2 linked regions of the Macaca mulatta genome follow. The protein of the gene in region 1 purifies or fractionates together with the protein of each later gene. This does not show direct contact. Links are inferred from orthologs where the notes say so. Each region holds a gene or a part of one and is shown on either strand. Other genes may lie near its edges.

What was found.
Region 2: the proteins of TNFRSF10B (region 1) and CFLAR purify together in Homo sapiens (affinity purification with western blotting, with the first as the bait; 5 studies listed by BioGRID). This does not show direct contact. The link is inferred for Macaca mulatta from reciprocal best matches to the Homo sapiens genes TNFRSF10B and CFLAR.

What each region holds. Positions count from the first base shown.
Region 1 is NC_133413.1:24,698,761-24,702,571, forward strand, and holds part of TNFRSF10B (tumor necrosis factor receptor superfamily member 10B), read right to left. Parts: intron 3,247-3,811; coding exon 3,133-3,246; intron 2,102-3,132; coding exon 1,990-2,101; intron 981-1,989; coding exon 709-980; coding exon of another isoform or gene 686-708; intron 132-685; coding exon 100-131; intron 1-99. UniProt on the Homo sapiens protein: Receptor for the cytotoxic ligand TNFSF10/TRAIL. The adapter molecule FADD recruits caspase-8 to the activated receptor.
Region 2 is NC_133417.1:106,259,488-106,263,298, reverse strand, and holds part of CFLAR (CASP8 and FADD-like apoptosis regulator), read right to left. Parts: intron 1,350-3,811; coding exon 839-1,349; intron 1-838. UniProt on the Homo sapiens protein: Apoptosis regulator protein which may function as a crucial link between cell survival and cell death pathways in mammalian cells. Acts as an inhibitor of TNFRSF6 mediated apoptosis.

The sequences.
Region 1 (3,811 bases):
AGCCATGAGGACAATGGGGACCCACCCACCCAGGTTCTGCTGTCCCAGGAAGCAGTTCCTGAGCCCCTGAGCCCCCAGCTCCTGGAGAAACCAACTCACACTGTCCACACGCTCAGGGTCCCCGCCACCACCTAAAAGAGAAGGAGTCTCCTTAGCAGGAGGGGAGGGGCCCACACAGCATCTCCCTCCCAGAGGACAGTGGGGCGCAGGGGTGGGCTGGGGGCAGGGACACTGGACAAGGAGCCCCGGGCCTGGGGACAGGAATGGGGTCTTACAACTCAGAGACACCCTGAGGAAGGGGGATGAGAAGGGGAACTAGAGTAAAACCAACACATGGAAAATCTCTGTGTTCTGCTCTGACCAAGGCTGAATAAATCCCGCGACCACTTCTCATCCTCACCCTTGTCACCCAGTTGAGGAGCCGACTGCCCCCTGCCTGGCTGGGCCTGAAGGTGGGAGGAACTGGCCCTGCCCTCCTGGACTTGGCTGGGAGATGAGGGGACCCCCAGCTCCGGAAGAGGGAGTGATGAGACCAGGGTTCTGGGGGGTGCCTGGGATGTGGGGATGGGGGTGACCACAAGGAGGAGGATACAGCCAGGCTGGAGACACTAAGACTTGGGGGAGGGGCAGCCGTTTCTGTCTGTGGGAATAGAGTGGGGGGGGCAGGGCAGAGAGTGCCCAGTGCCTCCGCCCTCAGCCAGCACCTACCTGAGCAGACGCCTTTCAGGTAAGGAAGGACTTTCTTCCACAGTGAAGTCTTCCAAACAATCACAGCCACAACCACGATTACGACGAGAACTATGACCCCTATGATGATGCCTGAGAGGGAACAGGGAGAAGCAGGAGTCCCAGGGCTGGTAGTCACTGTCTTCTCCACAGCTGGGACTTCCCCAGTGTGCTTTGTACCTGATTCTTTGTGGACACACTCGATGTCACTCCAGGGCGTACAATCCTTGACCTTGACCATCCCTCTGGGGCACCTGGGTACACACAGGGAGGGAGAGGGGGGACTCTTGATGGAAAGCTGGCCAGGTGGGATGAAAGAGGAGCCACCCTCCCTCCCCAGTGTCCCTGAGAAGGTGTCAGGGAAAGGGCAGGTTCCTCGTGTCTGCAGGGGGTCCCCCTATGCTCCCTTGTTGAGGCTGGGGAAGAGTCTGAGCATGCGCACTTCAGGCCCCTCGGCCTCCCTGCTCTGGGGTCAGAGCTGCAGCTCCAGGAGCCTTCCGTGCTGGGCACACACGGATCTTCCCTGGGCTGCAGGGGAGGCTGCGTTAGGAGGAGCCACACTCCAGGGGAAGGTCACAAGCCCCTATGGCCACAAGCTGAGTCTGGTCTTCCAGTCAACCACAAAAGTGAGCTCTTGTCCCCACCTGTCTGCCCATTCCTCCCAATCACAGCAAATACTACGGGGACCAGAGAAGAGCAAATTACCCTTGGCCCCTAAAACCCAAATAGAGAAAAGACAGGTCTTATTGAGGGATCAGGGGCCAGGGGCGAGGCCAGCTGGGTGGGCTCAGGTCCTCATGGGAACTTGAAGGAGCTCCACCCACGGCCTTATTATGCCTCTTGTGGGCTGTGGGCACTTTTGTCTTTATGGACCCCTGCCTGCATAAAAAATATTAAAAATTACATTTTATTGCTGAATTGGTATAAAGATGAATATATCCCTGGCTGCATTCTACTCATTCTTCTCATTTCAAAAGAAATTAAATCGTTTCATGGGCCCCTAAAAGTATCATGGGCCCTACATCATGGCCTTCTGTGGTCAGTGAACAAGTCAGCCTGGCCAAGGGGACTCGTGCTGGGGAGGGGTGGGAAGGGGCTGCTACAGGGGGCAGGGGTGGGGACAGGCAGAGGGATCAGGAGGGGCAGCCACAGGCTGAAGGATGCCCCATGGGGGTGCTCTCAGAGGATAGACAGGGGTACAAGGAGGCTTGGGTCTTCTTGGGGTTCTGTGGAGCTGCTGGGAGCCCCCGGCTGCTGTCTCACCCTGTGCGGCACTTCCGGCAAATCTCGGGGGAATCTTCTTCCCGGAAGGTGCCTTCTTCGCACTGACACACCGTGTTTCTGGTCGTGGTGCAGGAATTCACCTCCACTTCACCTGACGACAGAGCACAAGGTTTTGGGATATGTTTTCCTGATGTGTCCCTTGACCCTTCCTCCCCACCCCAAGACCCTCCTACTCAGCTTAATTCAGTTCGCCAAGGAGTTCTGAGGGCCAGTTTCTGCACCAGCACACTGGTGGCTCATACAGGACGCCCACCCTTCAGCTGTCGCCAACACTCAAGAGTCATACAAAAGGACCACAATTCATTATTTATTACATTAGATTAGGGGAAAGCATCGTTTAGGGAACAAGCATTGTTTAGATCACATGGTCAGTAGCAAGGGAAGTGTGAGGCATCACCTGAGAGACTGCAAGGAGAGGAGCCCTTGGGTGATTTCCCCAAGGCCCGGCCTGCTGGGGAGGAGGGAGAGGCCTGAGAACTGGAAGGATGAGTGAGGCCGAGCACCTGCCAAGAGCACAGAGCCCGGGGGAGAGAGCCTGGTCCAGAAGCAGACCCGTGCCACCGCTGAGACCCAGCCCTGTGCACTCGGCCAGGCTCATAGCCCCACCCCTTTGCAGCTGATAGTCTAAAAGATTTCCTTACCATGTAGCATACATTGTACAAATAATTTCTGTATTATTATTATTATTATTATTAAGACAGGGTTTTGCTCTGTTGCCTGGGCTGGAATGCAGTGACGCAATCTCGGCTCCCTGCAACCTCCACTTCCTGGGCTCAAGAGAGCCTCCTGCCTCAGCTTCCTAAGTAGCTGGGAATACAGGCACACACCACCCTGCCTGGCTAATGTTTATATTTTTGTAGAGATGGGGTTTCTCATTTTGCCCAGGATGGTTTCAAACTCCTGGGCTCAAGCGATGCCTCCCAAAGTGTTGAGATTACAGGCATGAGCCACTATGCCTGGCCTGTTTTATTTACTAAAAAACTCGAAGACAAAATCACGGAACAAAGTATGACGAAGACCAAGGTGGACCAGTATCTAGGTCTCCTGATCCCATTTTAGCTACAACTTTTATGTCATCACCCTGCGTTCCACCTTGAGGCATGGGGTCCTTATGTTCTGTACCTGAGTCACACTTGGTGCAGCGCAAGCAGAAAAGGAAGTCATTCCAGTGAGTGCTGTAGTCCTGTCCATATTTGCAGGAGATACAATCTCTACTGTCTTCGGAGATGTGGTGTCCTGGGAGGGGAGAGAAAAGCTGGTGAATGAAATGTCACAGGATTCCCAGCAGCTGGCAGTGGTGACTGGGGGACTGCTTTTTCAGGGATGCGTGGAACCCAAACAGGGAAATCTCTAGCTTGGTCAGTTTGTCAATTCTGCATTCACACACCTTAAACCAGCACTGCCAAAAGAAATATAAGCCACACATTTATTTATTTATTTTATTTTATTTTATTTTATGTTATGTTTTACTTTTGAGACATAGTCTCATTCTGTTGACCAGGCTGGAGTGCAATGGCACGATCTTGGCTCACTGCAACCTCCGCCTCCAGGGTTCAAGCGATTCTCCTGCCTCAGCCTCCTGAGTAGCTGGGACTACAGGCACGCACCACTACACCTGGCTAATTTTTGCATTTTTTTAGTAGAGACAGGGTTTCACCACATTGGCCAGGCTAGTCTCGATCTCCTGACCTTGTGATCCACCTGCCTCAGCCTCCCAAAGTACTGGGATTACAGGTGTGAGCCACTGCGCCCAGCCTATTTATTTATTTATTTAGACAGGGTCTTGCTCTGTAGCCCAAGC
Region 2 (3,811 bases), on another chromosome or scaffold:
GCCTGGGCAAACAGCAAGACTCCATCTCAAAAAAAATTAAAAAATAAAAAAAATAAAAATTTGTTATTTGTATGTATTTATGTATTTATTGGAGACAAGGTCTCCAATACTGTACTCCAAGGCTGCAGTACAGTAGTGCAATCACGGCTCACTGCAGCCTCAAACTCCTGGGCTCAAGCGATCCTCCTACCTTAGCCTCCCAAGCAGTTGGGACTACAAGCGCACACCACTGCACTCAGCTAATTTTTAATTTTTTTATAGAGTAAGTTCTCACTTTGTTGCCCAGGCTGAAAATTTCTTAATTTTGAAGAAAAGTATTCAAACTACAAACTAACTAACTACAAAGTATTTATAAATCGTGCCGGGCTGGCCGGGCGCGGTGGCTCAAGCCTGTAATCCCAGCACTTTGGGAGGCCGAGACGGGCGGATCACGAGGTCAGGAGATCAAGACCATCCTGGCTAACACGGTGAAACCCCATCTCTACTAAAAAATACAAAAAAAACTAGCTGGGCGAGGTGGCAGGCGCCTGCAGTCCCAGCTACTCGGGAGGCTGAGGCAGGAGAATGGCGTAAACCTGGGAGGCGGAGCTTGCAGTGAGCTGAGATCCGGCCACTGCACTCCAGCCTGGGCGACAGAGCCAGACTCCCTCTCAAAAAAAAAAAAAAAAAAAAATCGTGCCGGGTCTATACTGTAGTCCTACGGCAACCCCAAAGCAGGAGGGAAAATCTCTTTTCCTCCCAGAAGAGAAGGGCAGCAAACGTGGCACAGTGGTAATTCCTATCCTGTGGCACGAAAATAAGCAGGTGGTCCAGAACTGACCACCTCCTGGGGGCTCACCTTTCTTGTCTCAGTTTCTGGGAGAGGCACTGCAGGTACAGGGACGGTGAGCTGCAGGACCGCTCCAGCAGGGACACATCCGCAGTGCACAGGCTCCAGAAGAAGTCAGCTTCTCGGTGAACTGTGCTCAGCCCTCGCTGCTGAGCCTTGAATTCCACATTCTTCATTGCTGGCCCATCCACCTCCAAGAGGCTGCTGTCCTCCAGCTGGCCCTCTGACACTACATAGTTCTGAATAAAAAACACCTTTGGCTTCCCTGCTAGATAAGGGCATGAATCTCCCATGAACATCCTCCTGATGTGATGCAGGGGGAGTCCTGAGTGAGTCTGATCCACACCATACAAGCTCTGCGAGCCTCCTCGGCTCACCAGGACACATACAAAGCTATCGTAGTCTTGGTGCTCAGGCATACAGGCAAATTGGCCAAGAATCTGGGATATACCATTCACACTGAGATGCAAGAATTTCTGGACTTCATAGCCCAGGGAAGTGAAGGTGTCTTGAAGAAGCTCTGGGGAAAACACAAAACAAACATGTAAAACAACACTGGAGTGAGGAGAGCTCAAGAGGACTGGGTAGGAATCCTAGCCATGGTCTAATCTCCATTATGAAAAGCTTCTGCTTTTGTGTCATATTTTGACAGGCTCAAGTCCTGGGCAGTTGGAACAGGAACCATCTGAATCATGAAAGACGTGACTTTAGGTCCCTAAATATGGTCTATACCCTGCTATACCACTGTTCCTGCCTGATGCCAGCCACAGGCACAGACTGAGCCCACTCTAGTCCAATCAAACCAAGGGGAGGACAAAACCTTTCTTTCTTCAACGACCTTCTTACTGAAGTCCAGACCTCACAATCTTTCTCTCTTCTGAGTGGCTCACTCTGGGGGAAGCCCACCACCACATCATGAAAGTACTCAGGCAGTCCCTCAGAGAGACCCACATGAAGAACAGGCTTCCCGCCAACAGCTAGCACCAACTTCCCAGTCATGTGAGTGACCACCTTAGAAGTGGATCCTCCAATCCCAATCAAGCATTCAGATGACCCAGCTGACAACTGACCACAACTTCACTAGACTCTGGGCCAGAACAGCCCAGCTAAGCTGCTCCTACATTCCTCACCCACAGGTGAAGATATAATTAAATTAGTACTGTTGTTTTTGCCACTAAATTTTGGAGTGATTTGTATACATTTTTAGGTAAATAATTCACTAGGTAAGTCTTTTGACCTTTCCTATCAGTAAAAGGAAAAGGCTTCTTACTTTTCTCCTTTGCTTGGCCCACAACTAAGGATTAAACAATGAATCATTGGCTGGGCTCAGTGGCTCACACCTGTAATCCCAGCACTTTGGGAGGCTGAGGCGGGCAGATCACCTGAGGTCAGGAGTTCAAGCCCAGCCTGGCCAAAATGGCGAAACCCCGTCTCTACTAAAAATACAAAAATTAGTCAGGTGTAGTGGCACGCCCCTGTAGTCCTAGCTACTCAGGAGGCTGAGGCAGGAGAATCACTTGAACCCGGGAGGTGGAGGTTGCAGTGAGACAACATTGCAACACTACACTCCAGCCTGGGCAACAGAGTGAGACTCTGTCTCAAAAAAAAAAAGAAAATGAATTATTGTATCATGTAATAATGAAGAGATACAAAGGAAGTGCTGATATTTCTAAGTCTATAATCAATCAGCATCATTAACAAGGAAATAGGAGACATGATTCACAGGTTGCAAATAACCCATTAAACAGTGAGGGCAGCCAGGCCCAGTGGCTCACGCCTGTAATCCTAGCACTTTGGGAGGCCAAGGCGGGCAGATCACCTGAGGTCAGGAGCTCGAGACCAGTCTCGTCAACATGGTGAAACCCTGTCTCTACTAAAAATACAAAAATTAGTCAGGCGTGGGGTGCTCACCTGTAATCCCAGCTACTTGGGAGGCTGAGACAGGAGAATCGCTTGAACCCGGGAGGCAGAGGTTGCAGTGAGCGAACACTGCGCCACTGTACTCCACCCTGGGCGACAGAGCAGGACTCCGTCTCTAATAATAATAATAATAATAATAATGAGGGTAAATGCCTTCACAGGATCTCTGGGCAGCTGTTATCAGGACTGTAATTTTGTACAGCGTTTTTGAAGAGCAATTTGGGAGTATCATTAAATTTTAAATGTGTATGCGCTTTATAAAAAAAGGAAACTGTGTGGTAGAAGAGGCCTGGACGCACTGTCCCCTAGTCATCTCCTCTGAGGGTGCAGGCGAGTTTCAATACCCAGTACTGAATCCAGGCTGAACAAGGAGAGAACCTGGACTAGGACTCCAGTTCCATCACTGCTATTCTATTCCAAAGGACTTACACGTCTCTAATCATAGAGTATTTGTTCCCCCAGGGGGCAGAAGCAAACAGGGAAACACCAGACTCAAAGCTCTTTTGTTTACTTATCTCAAGATTGGTTCACTTCCCTCAAAACCTCTCTTCACTGATAAATGTCCTTCCTTATCAAAGTCCTTGAAAGAAAGCTTCACCTCGTTCTCCCTTCCCATGCTGATATGTGACGCTTGGACAGAACAAATGCTATACTGTGCCTTCCAGCTCTTTCCTTTATTTGTGCTCCCTGGAGGTTCTGGCTGGGGAAGCCCCTGTCACATGACCGTCAGCAGACAGTCGCGTGGTGCAGGGCAAAAGAGGAACCAGCCTTGCAATCACAAGATGTGGGTTTAAGTCCTAGTTCCTCCATCTCCTCTTACTAGGGTCTGAATCTTGCATGGTCTTGGAAGAGGACTGGGCTACAACAGCAGACAAGCTAGGAAGGGAATGGGAATCTGAGGTCTGGGGCAGAAAATCCTTACCTAAAAGAACAGAAGAAAAATAGCTAAAGCTGGAGGTGAAGCCAAAAACCATGCAGGTCCCAAATGCCAAAAAGAACAGCAGGTCTGAGCCTCAGACAAGACAGAGCATTGCTTAAATGTGTGGCAAGGCAGTCACTCCA